Linked DNA regions of Drosophila melanogaster. The protein of the gene in region 1 interacts with the protein of each later gene in a pairwise test. Each region holds a gene or a part of one and is shown on either strand. Other genes may lie near its edges.

What was found. The genes of interacting proteins can lie anywhere in the genome.
Region 2: the proteins of Vtld (region 1) and CG13699 interact in a two-hybrid assay, tested with the Drosophila melanogaster proteins (one large-scale study listed by BioGRID).

What each region holds. Positions count from the first base shown.
Region 1 is NT_037436.4:19,757,893-19,763,583, reverse strand, and holds Vtld (viral tegument-like deubiquitinase), read right to left. Parts: upstream 3,176-5,691; 5' UTR 2,754-3,175; coding exon 1,947-2,753; 3' UTR 1,767-1,946; downstream 1-1,766. Other genes in the region: Gyc76C (guanylyl cyclase at 76C), read left to right, coding at 5,354-5,521, 5,662-5,691.
Region 2 is NT_037436.4:18,158,779-18,166,004, forward strand, and holds the start of CG13699 (uncharacterized protein), read right to left. Parts: upstream 3,745-7,226; 5' UTR 3,529-3,744; intron 1,279-3,528; 5' UTR 1,189-1,278; coding exon 1,091-1,188; intron 849-1,090; coding exon 1-848.

The sequences.
Region 1 (5,691 bases):
AATGCTGCTGTCATATGATATGGTATGATATGGCATGATATGGTATGATATGATACGGTATGGTATGGTATGGCGGTATGCCTGGTGATGTAGGACTTTAAACCCACCCGGCAGTGAGTCAACTAGTGGATTCGATGACAATTGTCGGCGGCAGAAGCACGCACATTGTGATGGTGCGTGATATTTGTGTTTATATAGCACCCCCCTGGCAAACCCCCACATTTTTGGTTCCTCAAAAATCGCCACTTCACCCACTTTGCCTGCGAGGAGCTCCCCTGGTGATGTTTGTTTGTCGATATATGTGCAATGTAATGTCGTGTTGGTTTATCCAACGGCCAATGGATTGTCGTGTTCGCGTCTGGTTTCTATTTTTAGTATGCAGGTTTTATTTTTAGACAACTCGACAATTTGTACGCACATACATAAGTATGAATGTATGTGTGTATACACACGTGCAGCAGCAAAAAACTTCGTCTGAAAAGTGCAATAAAGACGGTTCCCCGCCGCCGACTGCAACTTGTTGCGCTGTGCGACAGAGAGGATGGACGGAGTGAGAGAGATGGAGACGGAGACAGCCAGAGAGCAAGAGAACAAGAGAGCATCATGTTAAATGCGGCCCACGTTGCGGCTACGCGATTTTTATATTTTCACATTACACAACTTGTAGCTCTTTATTTGTTGATTACAACTCAGTTGCACGCTCTCTCCCTCTGCGATTTCCTCTCTCATTTTGTCTATTTCTCTGTTTTGGCCTCTCCGCGGCTGCTTTTCACATTTAACGTTAAACGTTTTATCACGTCTTGCGCCTCGGTTTTCGATTTGTTTCTCATATTTTCTTTGATATGTGGCTCTATTTTTAGACGCTCCTCCTTTGCCCCTCGCCTTCTCCTCTTCACTAGCTCTCTCTTTCTCTCTCTCTCTCGCACTCTCTGTTTACTTTATAAATATTTAAATTGTTGTCACGTACTAAGTTCTTAATAGGTTACGTTATGTGTTTATTTAACTCATTTTGATTAGAAGTCGAGAAAAATACGGCAGAGCCACACGCGCACCGCATACTCGTCGCTCGATTCCCGTTACAAAGTTCAACTTTAACTCTTGCGCCTTTGTTATTAAAGCCACTCGACTTTCGGTTAGCTGGGGTGGCCAAAACAGCAAACAGCCCACATCCGCTAATGCATAAAATCCCCCACACAGATGTTCGGCTCTCCCGAACTAATTGTTTACTCAAGTGTAATTAGGTAAGAGGAATAGAAAATAGGCAAATATCAACAGAAAGGTAAATACATACGTGCTCACAATTAAATAATTTCTATATCATTATTTAGTTCAGCATTAATTAGGAGTTAAATTTTTCATACGTTCACATGTATGTACATAACAACATGGAAAGTTGTTTAGGTGACTTGCAAAAGTATATTGTCTTCATTCTTTGAATCCGACGATTAACTGCGTGCCTTAAAGAACTTTTAACTAAACGATAGAGAACATTATTGTCCTCTTGTCCGACTCTTTGATACCAGTTACTTAGCTCAACGACCAAGAAGTTTCTACTTCTTAGCAGTTCCAGCTAACTGTTTATAGCTCCTAAGATTTCGATGATTATACGGACAACAAACAGACGGACATTGAGAGACTGCACTTATACTTTATAGGGTCGGAAATCAATCTTGTATCAACCTTGAACAGACTAGACTTACCATATAGCTAAATCTTGCAAAATCTGTCTTTAAGGATACAATGCAAATTGGAGTTCGTTATTTATTAGTTGATGGTCAACAGAGAATTTTGAATTAAATTTCTAAACGCTTAACACACAAATTTTGCTATATGAAACTTGAGATTTTGTCCTAAAATAGCCCCAAAAATGGGTTCCGAAAGGTTGGCCCGCGCCTAGATCGACGTCCTTGGATGTTGGCGACTTTGTAGTAAACCTGGCAACATGATTAGTGCTTAGGCATGTTCATCTTAAACGGCTTCTTCAGGTCTGCGGCAATCTTTTTTTGGATGGCCGGCGGAATGTTCTTGGCCACCCCCGGCTGAGAGCTGAGGAAGGAGATTTCGAAGAGCGAGGGCCGGCTGGAGTAGACATTGTGTAACATGCTGATGAACCAGAAGAGCAGGTCGTCCATGTTCTCGAGCGTGCACTGGGCGAAGACGGCTCCCGCATCCCGGCCGTGTTGGTGGGAGTCGAAGAGGGCGACGATCGAGGCTCGGAAATCGAAGGTTACCATCACCGTTCGACTGTCCGCTATGATGGCGGCGAAGAGGTTAGTGGGTACATTGTTTCGCACGCTGGCGTGCTGGAACATCTGGAGTGTTATCTGGAAAACCCGCGACAACTGCACAGCAACGTTCCGGTTGTACATGGGATTGCTGGGATCGGCCTCCATGTGCGTGTAAAACCACTCCTCCAGCCGGAAGTTCATCTTGTGCTGCGACCGAATGGCGGCGATAGCATCCGGAATGTTGAGGTTGAGATTCCTGGCGTGCGGCGTATTAGTTGTAATCACATTGTGGTACACGCTGTTTCCGTCGTTAATGGCGTTGCCGAAGAGCTCCCATCCCCGCAGCGGCAGATCGGAGACCCTGTGATAGAATCTGTCCGCCTTGGCCACCTTGTCGGCCAGTATTAGGGAAATGATGGTGCAGGAGTTGGTGCCGCTCCGCTGGAACTCCCCGAATCGCGACTGACAGAAGTCGCGCGGAAACCACCAGATGTTCAGGTTGTCGATCTGCTCGTGAATGGCCATGGCGCCGGGTTTTTGATCGCCCGGGGATCGGTTGTTGGTCCTCGGATCCTGTGTTCAGCGACGTCTTAATCTTAGGTTGCGTTTCCGGATCCTGGTGCTCCGGAGACGCAGTGGTAAACCCGGCCCTGGCGCTGTTTCCGTAGTGCCACTGTCACATAGTTCGCAAGTGCAATGACCCCTAGGCTTCAAGGCGCACGTGTGGGTATAGAGTTGGTGGTTTATGTGGGGATCTAGTGATCGAACCCGTCAACAGCACTATGTCCTCGGATTCGGGATCGAGCTCAGGATTGCCGCAACTCCTCTCCACTCCACTACGCTCTAAGCACGGGCTTTGGATTTCAAGTAAACATCGAATTTTGAGTGTCTTTTGCCGGAGGAGCGTTCGACGGGTAAAGGTGAAAACTTTCGAGTCGGAAAGACAAAAATTTCTAGACCAACAACTGACAAATAACGAACATGATGTGAGATTTCAGACCTACGGGGATCTGATTATGAAAATGAGAGCCCATTTGACGCAATTTGAAAAGGTATTGCTACGTTCTTATAGGTCCTTGAATATAGTATTTCCATTTTACATTTAAAGTAATTGTAATAGTTGAAACTATATGATTATTCCAACAAATTTTAAGGTGTTCTAGCTCTATGTGAGCATTACACCTTACTATGCTAAAGGAGTACATTCAGAGTTTTTCAATTAGCTTAGTTAAAAACTCATCAATGAAATTGAAATGGTTTTTAGATTTTGTCTACTTCAGCGCAACAGCTATTTACATCCATGATACCGACTTAAGTATTTTTTAACTTAAATAGGTTGTTTATAGACCAATCTATATACGTATTAAACAAGAAGATCTGCTAATCTAGATTCTAGGAAAGACGATTTCCGCCTTAGCCACACATAAATGTATTCAAATGCCATTCTTGGAAACGCGTTTCGCATTGTGTCAAAATGGTGCGCAAATATTTATCAGTGGCGCCCAAATTTAGCTAGCCCAGCCAAGTAGTTCTAATTTTAAATTGCAACATTGAAGAATATACAGCTTAAAAAACAAAAACAAATATGGTTTGCGAAGTGTGTCGAAAATGCAAATTTATGGCTGGCTGCTTGAGCATTTTGTTGATTGAGATTGGGGTGCTCTAAAGATTACCCGCGTCTAAGTGGCTACACTTTGAATTCCTCGTGAATATTTGTTTGAAATTATCAGGAAAATTTGTGAATTCCTAAGGTTTTCCTAAGTCTCTTATCATGTCTTAAGGATTGGTTTTGCTTTTAATTAAACTCAGCTTATGGCTTTTCAAAGCAATTCGATATTAATCAATTTTATGTTCTATTGCTGGAAATTTAATGTGCTCCACAGTTAACCGATGTCCCAGTCGTTTGTGGCAACTTTTTTTTAAATTAACTATAATCAAATAGTTGCCCTACATTCCGTTATATACTGGCTTTCGCATTTCTTTTATTCTTTTAATTAAACTTACACGTGAGCCTGTTAAAAAAAAAAAAAAAGACAAACAGGGATGAACGCCATCATCCGACCGAACAGTTGAGTAATCCAATCCCATGGAATAAGCTTTCGCTTTAGCGCAAACAATCAGGACAATGCTGTGGGGAGGGATTGTGTTGGCGTGGACAGGGATAATAACAAACATATGTCTGAAACGAAATCGCCGGCGATATATATATTTAATGCCTCAAACGAAATTGCATAATGGCAAAATCAACGCATGCATAATTAATAATAACAAGCTGTGCGCTCCGCATTATGGGCCTCCATTCCGGAGGATACATATGTACGAATGTATATGGCATTCCTTGGTGGAAAAAGGCCTCTGCAGTAGCTGATAAGCTACTTATCAGTGATTCGCTCCCAATTCCCATGGCAAAGAACTGAACAGCCTAATTAAAAAATTCCTAAGCTCGTTTCGGCTGCCGACGGACGAGTGGTCAACGATATTGAAGTTGGACATTCCAACATTTGACATTTCCCTGCGTGGGCACTTGCCTGGCATCCGGTTGCCTGTTGGAGTACACCCAGCGTCATTTCCCTTTTGCGTCCTTTGCGACACTCAGCAGTTCCAGCTTATTGATAAACAGAGAAAAATAATCGTCCTACTTGATTCCCAATTTAGTTTGGTATTTTTGAGTAAAGCAGTTGTTTAAATAAGCTAAGAATTGATATAGTATGTTAATTTCGAACGTAATTGCTTAAGAATACATTTATTTTAGAGTCTTTAATATTATATCCTGCCATAATTTATTCTCTGTGTCCTGGGCAGTCGGACTGCAGCTGCTTTCCAGCTTCTCTGCCTTGCAGCTCTTTCGTCTGAATCAAGCCAAGTGTCTGAAATGCGTTCAGCATGCTGTTTTCTATTTGTGTTTGCCTTTGTCAAACATGCATTTTTATTATGCAAAGGGGTCCTTGGCAGTTTCAATTGCGTCCTCACTTAGCTTCGGCTCGGTCCTGCTCCTCGCGCAACGCTTCTGCTCCTGTCTCTGGTCCTACTCTCAACTGATCCTTCTTCTCCGTTCCCATCATTGCAGTGTGAGAATCCGTTGGGACCCATAGGCGTCGCGCTGAACGGCCCCGGCCTAAGGGGCCATGACGCGTTGGCCCTTTAATCTACTACTCTTGCTGTCGGTGGCGGTACGCGACTGTAGCAATCATCGCACCGTCCTCACTGTCGGCTACCTAACGGCCCTCACTGGCGATCTCAAGACGCGTCAGGGACTGGCCATTTCCGGTGCCCTGACTATGGCCCTGGATGAGGTAAGTACTAGCTTCGATTTATTTGTAATAATAGCAAATATCTGAACTCGATAGTATTCAAACTGCGTCATCAAAGTTGTACCTTTTTTTTTTTAGATAGAATTGTTATTGAAAGTCTTTCGTTTTCGTTCCGGAAACAGGTCAACAAAGATCCCAATCTTCTGCCAAAT
Region 2 (7,226 bases), 1.6 Mb from region 1:
TCTGCTGTGGGTTTGGCCGCTTCGAATAATTATCGAAGTTGTTTGCATAATTAGACGAGCCTGGTGGTGGTGCTCCACCTGCTCCTCCTGATCCCCCTGCTCCACCTCGATTTGGCTTGATGTCTTGGCGTTGGTACAGCGGTCGCTGCTTTGGCTGCTGGGGCACGAAATTGGAAGTTTGCTCGGCCGCATAGCTGGGCGGTGGGTAATCATGGCTATCATAGGAGATTTTGTGCGCCGCGGTGGTGGGCGGTGGTGGAAGCGAGGGCGGTGGCCTTGTGGGTCGTCGATACGATGGAGCGGGGCTTTCATCGAAGACGTAGCCAGGTCGCTTTAGATAAACATCCTCCACGTGGCCAGGATACGGCTGCTGGTGGTTTTGCTGTTGGTGACTGCCCACCAGCAGGGAAGATTGCACAGTATAGGCCTGATCGTCTTGGGCTGGCTGCTCACGTTGATATTGAATTATAGAAGGCGGAGTGGGTGTGTAGCGATAGTTCTGCTGGGTGTACGGATCCAGGTAGCTAACTACCGGCGTTGTGGGCAGCGGTGTGCTCTGAAACATCGAGTGCGAGTCCTGGGGAAAGGAGAACTGCTTGTCCAATGCCACCTGCTGTCCCAGAGAACTTGGAAGTTCGTGCTTGTAGTTCGGTTCCAAATAGCTCGGAGGATAACGGGTGTAACCAGACTGGGGCATCACATCGGAGGGCGTGAAGTCCAGCATTTGCGAGGGTCTAAATCCACCACCCGTTGTCACTCTGGCTGAAGTTTCAGGAAAACTCTGACCAACTGAAGCTTCTTCTGAGGGAAAGAAGTTTTTCAATTTCACAGATATCTGTTCGTCCTCACTGGGGAAAAAAAGTTATGCATATTTAATTTAATATATCATAGTAATGTCTCTAAAAACAGAAAGCCAAGATATAATTCTATAAATATTTCTTATTATTTATTTATTTATCTTAATGATAAATTTCTATAATTTTATTACTTTTTATAAGTTATAAGTTATAAAAAAACAAGAACATGAAGCATCTTTGCAACAGAAGCTTAGAGGCTTATTTGCATAATCAAGAGAGCTCAATCAACTTACCCGTTGCCATTTCTTATGCACGACACGTTGACGACTAATGCGATAATTAGAATTGCAATTTTGCATTGCACACTTCGCGGCTCCCATAGCAATTGCATTTTGCGGGTGGAGTTTGAGGAAAATGTGGAAAATCCCGCTGCTCACGTCAGCGATTCATAAGCTCAAGCCAAACTGTCTTCGCACGTCGCCTAAAGCGGGAAAATGGAATGGTGGAAAACATCATAAAAACTTGCTGTCAAACTCAAACTACAAAAGAATTCGCACAATTTCCGACGACTTTTGCTCGACATTTTCTTGCTACATTTGCACATAAATTTATAGATTTACCACCCACTGTTACCCCACGGGGATGCACATTTGCATTCATATTAATGCAATTCTCACGTGCTATCCGCCAAAAGGAGTTCTCCCTGCCGACGACATTTGTTTAATTCGGTTTTTTATGATTGCGCCGTGTTTATGCAACCGCACGACCGCCAGAAATAATCGGATACCATCATCTTCAGTCCCGGCGAACCAAGCAAAATTATTCGGATTATTGTCAACTTTTATTTGGCGGGACGCTGACAGGCCCTAAAAGTTTAATGCCCACAGCGATTTGGTTTCTTTTTATACTCGGCTTCTATTGGGACAAGTGTCTAGAGTGCATATAGCCAAGTTCTAAATAGTCTGGTTGTGAATATACTCATTGCCATGATTGGTCTTTGTTCGTCCTATTTCGTTAATATAAAGTTATAAGTTGTAGACTTGCAAATAAGAAAGTTCGAATTAAAGCAGTTCACTTGTATTTATGTTAAAAATCTAGCCATATAAATGACTTAGTTAAAGCTGTGCCTAAATGTTTATAAATTACTTATTAATCGAGTGCGCTAGCAGAGCTTAAAAAAGTCGTGCTCAAATATTAAAACTAATCACTTATCCTAATAGACTTTCATTCTTATTGTTATATCGTATTTACAATATCAGTGAAAGTGTGCCTTATGTTCTTGAGCAAAACTTTTCTCAACATCTTGTCTTTCTTATTGATTTCTTTGGTTTTTGGGACACACTTATTGATTTGGGGGTCTTAACTCTTTTGAGTCTTCTGCAAACCATAAATTTCACCATAAAATATGCACAGTTTGTCGCCTTGTTTAGTGCGTCATTTAGCGCTCTTCGATTTCCATTTGCATTTAAAGGGAGTCAAGGTTGTTTTACCAGACGCTTTAAAAAGGCACTTTTTAAAGATGACGCACAGAAAATTTCGAAAATATTTGGTTAAAGTCTTACTGTGTTCGCAGCATCTGTGCCGAGTTAAAAATATATTATTTATGTTTGTGCTTGTGCGATATAAAAACAACTCCTATGCCAAATGTCTTGTTGAATATAAAATTTAAATTCCTTGCAATTGCGAACGGAGACGGGCAACAGACTTTTCCAGCAGTAATTGCAGCCAAAAATTTTATGATCCCATCCGGAGGGGGAAGGATATGGCGGGGATATTCGGGGAAGTATCAGAAAACTGCATTTGCCGCTTGCTGGCGCCAGAGGGCGCTGCACTAAACCAAAAGACAGCAGACGGCAATGGAAGTTTACAACAAGAAATGGCAGCTAATATTAGAAGGGGCGGCTGACTGCAGCAGGTGCAAGGATCACAAAATGCACATCGATGGGGTGGGGGGGGTGGGGAAGGACACTGACAACGACACCCAAACGAGAAGGCGGCGACACGAAAGGACACTTTACGCTCGAGATGCGTTCCAAATTGTGCGGGCAAAGACGAACACGGATACGGATGCGGATATGGCGTACGTGTTGTGAATTCTTTGGGCAAGTATCCCCTGCTTGTCAAATTACATAATCCACTCAACACGCCTCCCTGCTCCAACGCCCACCAATTAGCTTTAATGTCCAAGGCGTGCTGAGGTTCGAATTGAGTCTTATTGAAGGACTCGCACAGAAAAAAAAAATTAAATCAGAATGGGGAAGTTAATATTTTTGGAAGCTTTAGCCAGATTTAAGTTCTTAGAGCGACACACAGTTGAAACTTTAAAATATCGCATTATTATTTACTATTTAATTTGTTTTTGTTTTCATTTGTTCCACTTCACAAATAAATGCAATATAAGTAACTCCTTTAAATTAGCTCAACTTAATGTTGAGATTTATTTTGTTTTAAACCATTTCATTGTGCACTCAATGAGACACCGATTTTTGTAATGCCATTTTTGCGCAATTCTTTGCTGCTTCCACTTCTTTCCACAATCCACAACTTTCTTTTCGGTCTTCCTGGCTGGTTGAACTCGAAAATTGCCCAGTTGCGTTTCTAGGCACAAATGCTATGCTTTGTTTGCTTTTTGAATTGCTACATTTGAGGAGCTTATTTAGGGGCCCGGCTTTTGATTTCGATTTGCACACTTTCGGTTTCGATTTTCGCCGTGGGTTTTTTCCCAACTTACTCACTGCACTTTTGTGTTCGGTGCCGCTTCTTTTTCTCCGCGTGTCTCAAACGAAACTGAAAGCGAAATGCGATTCGAAACTGGTTAACTTTTGAGCTAAAGCTACGCAACGGAGGACGTAAGCGTTGTAAAACTAAAGCTAAAAGCCAAGCGGAGACGCAGATTCGACGACGACGTCTTTCCGGCTTTAAGTTCGGCGATCGTTTGACACGCGACGCCGGCGCAGAAAAGCCACCAAGCCATTTCTCTGCAGATATGTATGTGTGTGTATCCGAAGTCTTAAGGCCTGGCCGAGAGAGAGCTCCACTACCACTCGACTTGGCCAGGTGGATAAGCGTTAACGGGGAGTACAGAGAAGCTCGACCAGTTGGGTCTCTTTGAAGGTCAATGGTTAAAAGTTAAAATAAAGTTGGGCTTTTCCAACAAAATATACATTTAAAATATGAACTTTAGGCGTGTTTTTCACTAAAGCAGTTCCAATGATCAGATTAGCAGTTTTTACGGCGTAAGAGTTTTTTATTTTGTTACTACTCTTATTGAGTTGATAACAAATAGTCTAAAAGCTAAAAGTAAAAAAAATCCAGTTAGTTTTTTAAACGTAGTTATTTAAAAGTGTATGTTAGGGTATAATTAGAACTCTTTCAGTATTTAGCTAAGTATTTGAGCTTTATAACCATAAAAAAATTGTTGCAACATGGCTAACGAACTACTTAAACTATTACACTAACCAAACCGATTTCTCAGTACTTAACTCTGAGCAGATCATTCAACTCACTTACACACGGCGTTATCAATTACAATTACATCTGCTTAATTGCCGCATTTGTTACACTTTTCGAGTGAGAAATGATTGACCAACGAGGCAGTTGGCCAGCACAATGGCTTAATTATAATGGGCCAAAAGACGGTAGGCGACCAGCAAATTGTCGGCCAGTCTGAGTGAAAGTTGAGGCTCTCTGGTGAGCAGGCGAAGCAGCTATCAAGCAAATCAGCTAACAAGACCCAACAGCCAAACTGAACCCAACTGAAACCGAAACTGACTCGAGTTGAGTAATTTTCTGCTCTAGTCCCCCCAAAAATGGCTTTCTTTTACCATCCCATGTTGTTGGTAATAATAATTTACACGTTTTTATCGCTGCTGAGGTAACCAACCCAGCATCATCCACGGACTGTTATTGGGACAGATTTGGCGGTCAAACGAAAGCAAAATCAAATATCATCCAAAAATCGTGGGCTGTTCCCCGAACTGAACTGACTCCCAAATGGCTCACAATCTGTGCCAATGTCTGTCATTCAACCCGGTACGCTTCTTTTTTTTTTTTGTTTTTCGCCAGTCTCGCAATTTGTTTACATTCGGCCGAGTTATGCAAAAAGCTCGAACTGCCTTCTTCGGTTCATGATTGATGAATGGCGGCATGTCGGTGGATTTTTATATCCGCCTGTGGGAGTATCTGGGTGTGCTGGCCGACCATGAAAGGTCGTCGATGAGTCGTCGATTTGCCATCCAACTCACGTTACTTTTGTGGTAAAGCCCAAGACAGCAATCATAGATGCAAGCTTGGTCAAAATAAAAATGCCGAAAAAAGGTTGTTAGCTTTGTAATTGATGATATCAAAAGTCAAAAATTATTAGTAATTATTATTATAAAAAATTATTCATAATAAGCTTATTAAAACAGTAAGAAGTCCAATCGAGTTACGAAACCTTTTTTAAGGCAACAATTTTTTGAAAGTTAGGATTGTTTCGAGTTTTAGTAATACCAAACAACAAAGTTGTGCAAAATAACATTTTTTAGGGACTAACAAGGGAACTAACAAAAATTTGGTTAACAATGCTTACAAATTTTAAAAATTTTATATTTTGTTAAAAATATTTAATGTTAATATTAAATTTATTAAATATACACTTTTAGTTACTGCATTTTTGGCTCATTAGAGGTTCTTAAAATATAACTATCATGATATTAGGAGTGCCTAATAAAAATAAATCTAAATGTAATAAATATGTTGAAAATATCGAAGAAAACAAAAAAGCACGCACGCTATGAATAATAATATATAACAAATTTCAAATATTTCATTTTTTGTAAATAATTATACATACTTTTGTCCAATTGTGAAGTGCACGGACGCGTATAATCGTGATAGAATGAAAAAGGTTTTTACTGACCCATCATCTCACGTGAGCTAACTTATATACATATTTCCCGGTGCGGTAAAGAGACTTAAATGGAAAGTCGGTCCTCTGTATTTAATCAAAGGGGTCCTGGCTGCAGGTTTGTGTACAGAGGTTGTTGAAATTATTATGAAATGCCTGTTGGCATGCAGGAAACGAACTTTGCGCGCAGTTCGAGCCATATTCTTCCGACCGTGCTGGGTCCTAGACAAATGACCACTTATCAACGTGTAATGAAATATGGTACATCTGCTGCCATAAAAGACGGCCCGGCCCCAGTTGGCGCCTTTGTCCTTGGCTGGTCAGCCTTTTGTCCTGCGCTGGCATGTCGTATGAATTATGTTGATGGCCCCCCGCATTTCCCCTTCCCAGCATCGTGCGGGTCTCATTTATTACATTTTGGCTTTTTGACAGATTGCTAAGCGTAGTAAGCGTTTCCGCACTAATTTCCGTGTCCTGCAACTATTCGTTGTCTGGTCGGTTTTATGCACTCGAAACAAATGTGTTGAACTTTCTTAAAAAAAATCGAACGAGGAAAAATATTTCATTTCTATTTTAAAGTTTAATTTACTTCTTTTTTTATGGCGCAGAAAATTATATTTTCAAATGAAATACGCATATTTTTCCACAGTGTACCGGGTCAGTATTAAAAGCCAAAAGCAAATTACTCATCACATCAACGGTCAGCAAGGATCTGCTTTTCTGGTTGCTTTTTATTATGTATGCCATGTACAGGGATTTTAATAAATCGTTTGCTACCATCTAGCATATACCTACTCGTCTCTCGTTGGACATCCTTTTAGCTTGGATATCCTGGGTTTTTATTAGTTTGTCAATAAAGTGCCAAAAGACGTTGATTATGATCGTCATATATTGCCGCTCTTATGAGTTATCCAGCTGATGGCCTGAAGGCCAGTTGTGCTCATACCATTTTCCAGATACATATGAAGATGTCCTTCCATTCGCCTTACTTCTTAAATGTGTCCTCCACATCTTTGAGATACTATTGCTCGTGTTTTCTGCTTTTCTATTTCTAGCTCCAGCTTAGCAACTTTCACAGTGCCTAAAGCAACCAAAGTAAACAGACCTTTTTTGAATGCAAATCAAATTGTGGCATCTTAAAATGACAAGATATTTTGTAAGATATGACATTAGTAACTATCTCATATTTTTTAATTGAAGCAAACTTATCCATTACTTGCTTAAACAGAGATTTTTGATAAACTTTAATAAGATATTTATAATCAATGCTAAGGAAAAGGCAAAACATACATGTGTAACTAAAAATAAAGGGTAAATTGGATAATATGCCTTAGGCCTAATTTAAACATATGTATTATTGATAAAATATGAACTATTGATTATTTATTTCCCATTTACTTATCTTCGAAACCCATTCCAAACTAAGCTTTGAAACAAGTGAAAATATCTGTGGTAGAATTCACATGTTTCCAGCAAGTTAAAGTGGTATGGGAATTACATTGCAGACAAACGAGACAAGTTTCTTACATTTGTGTACATGT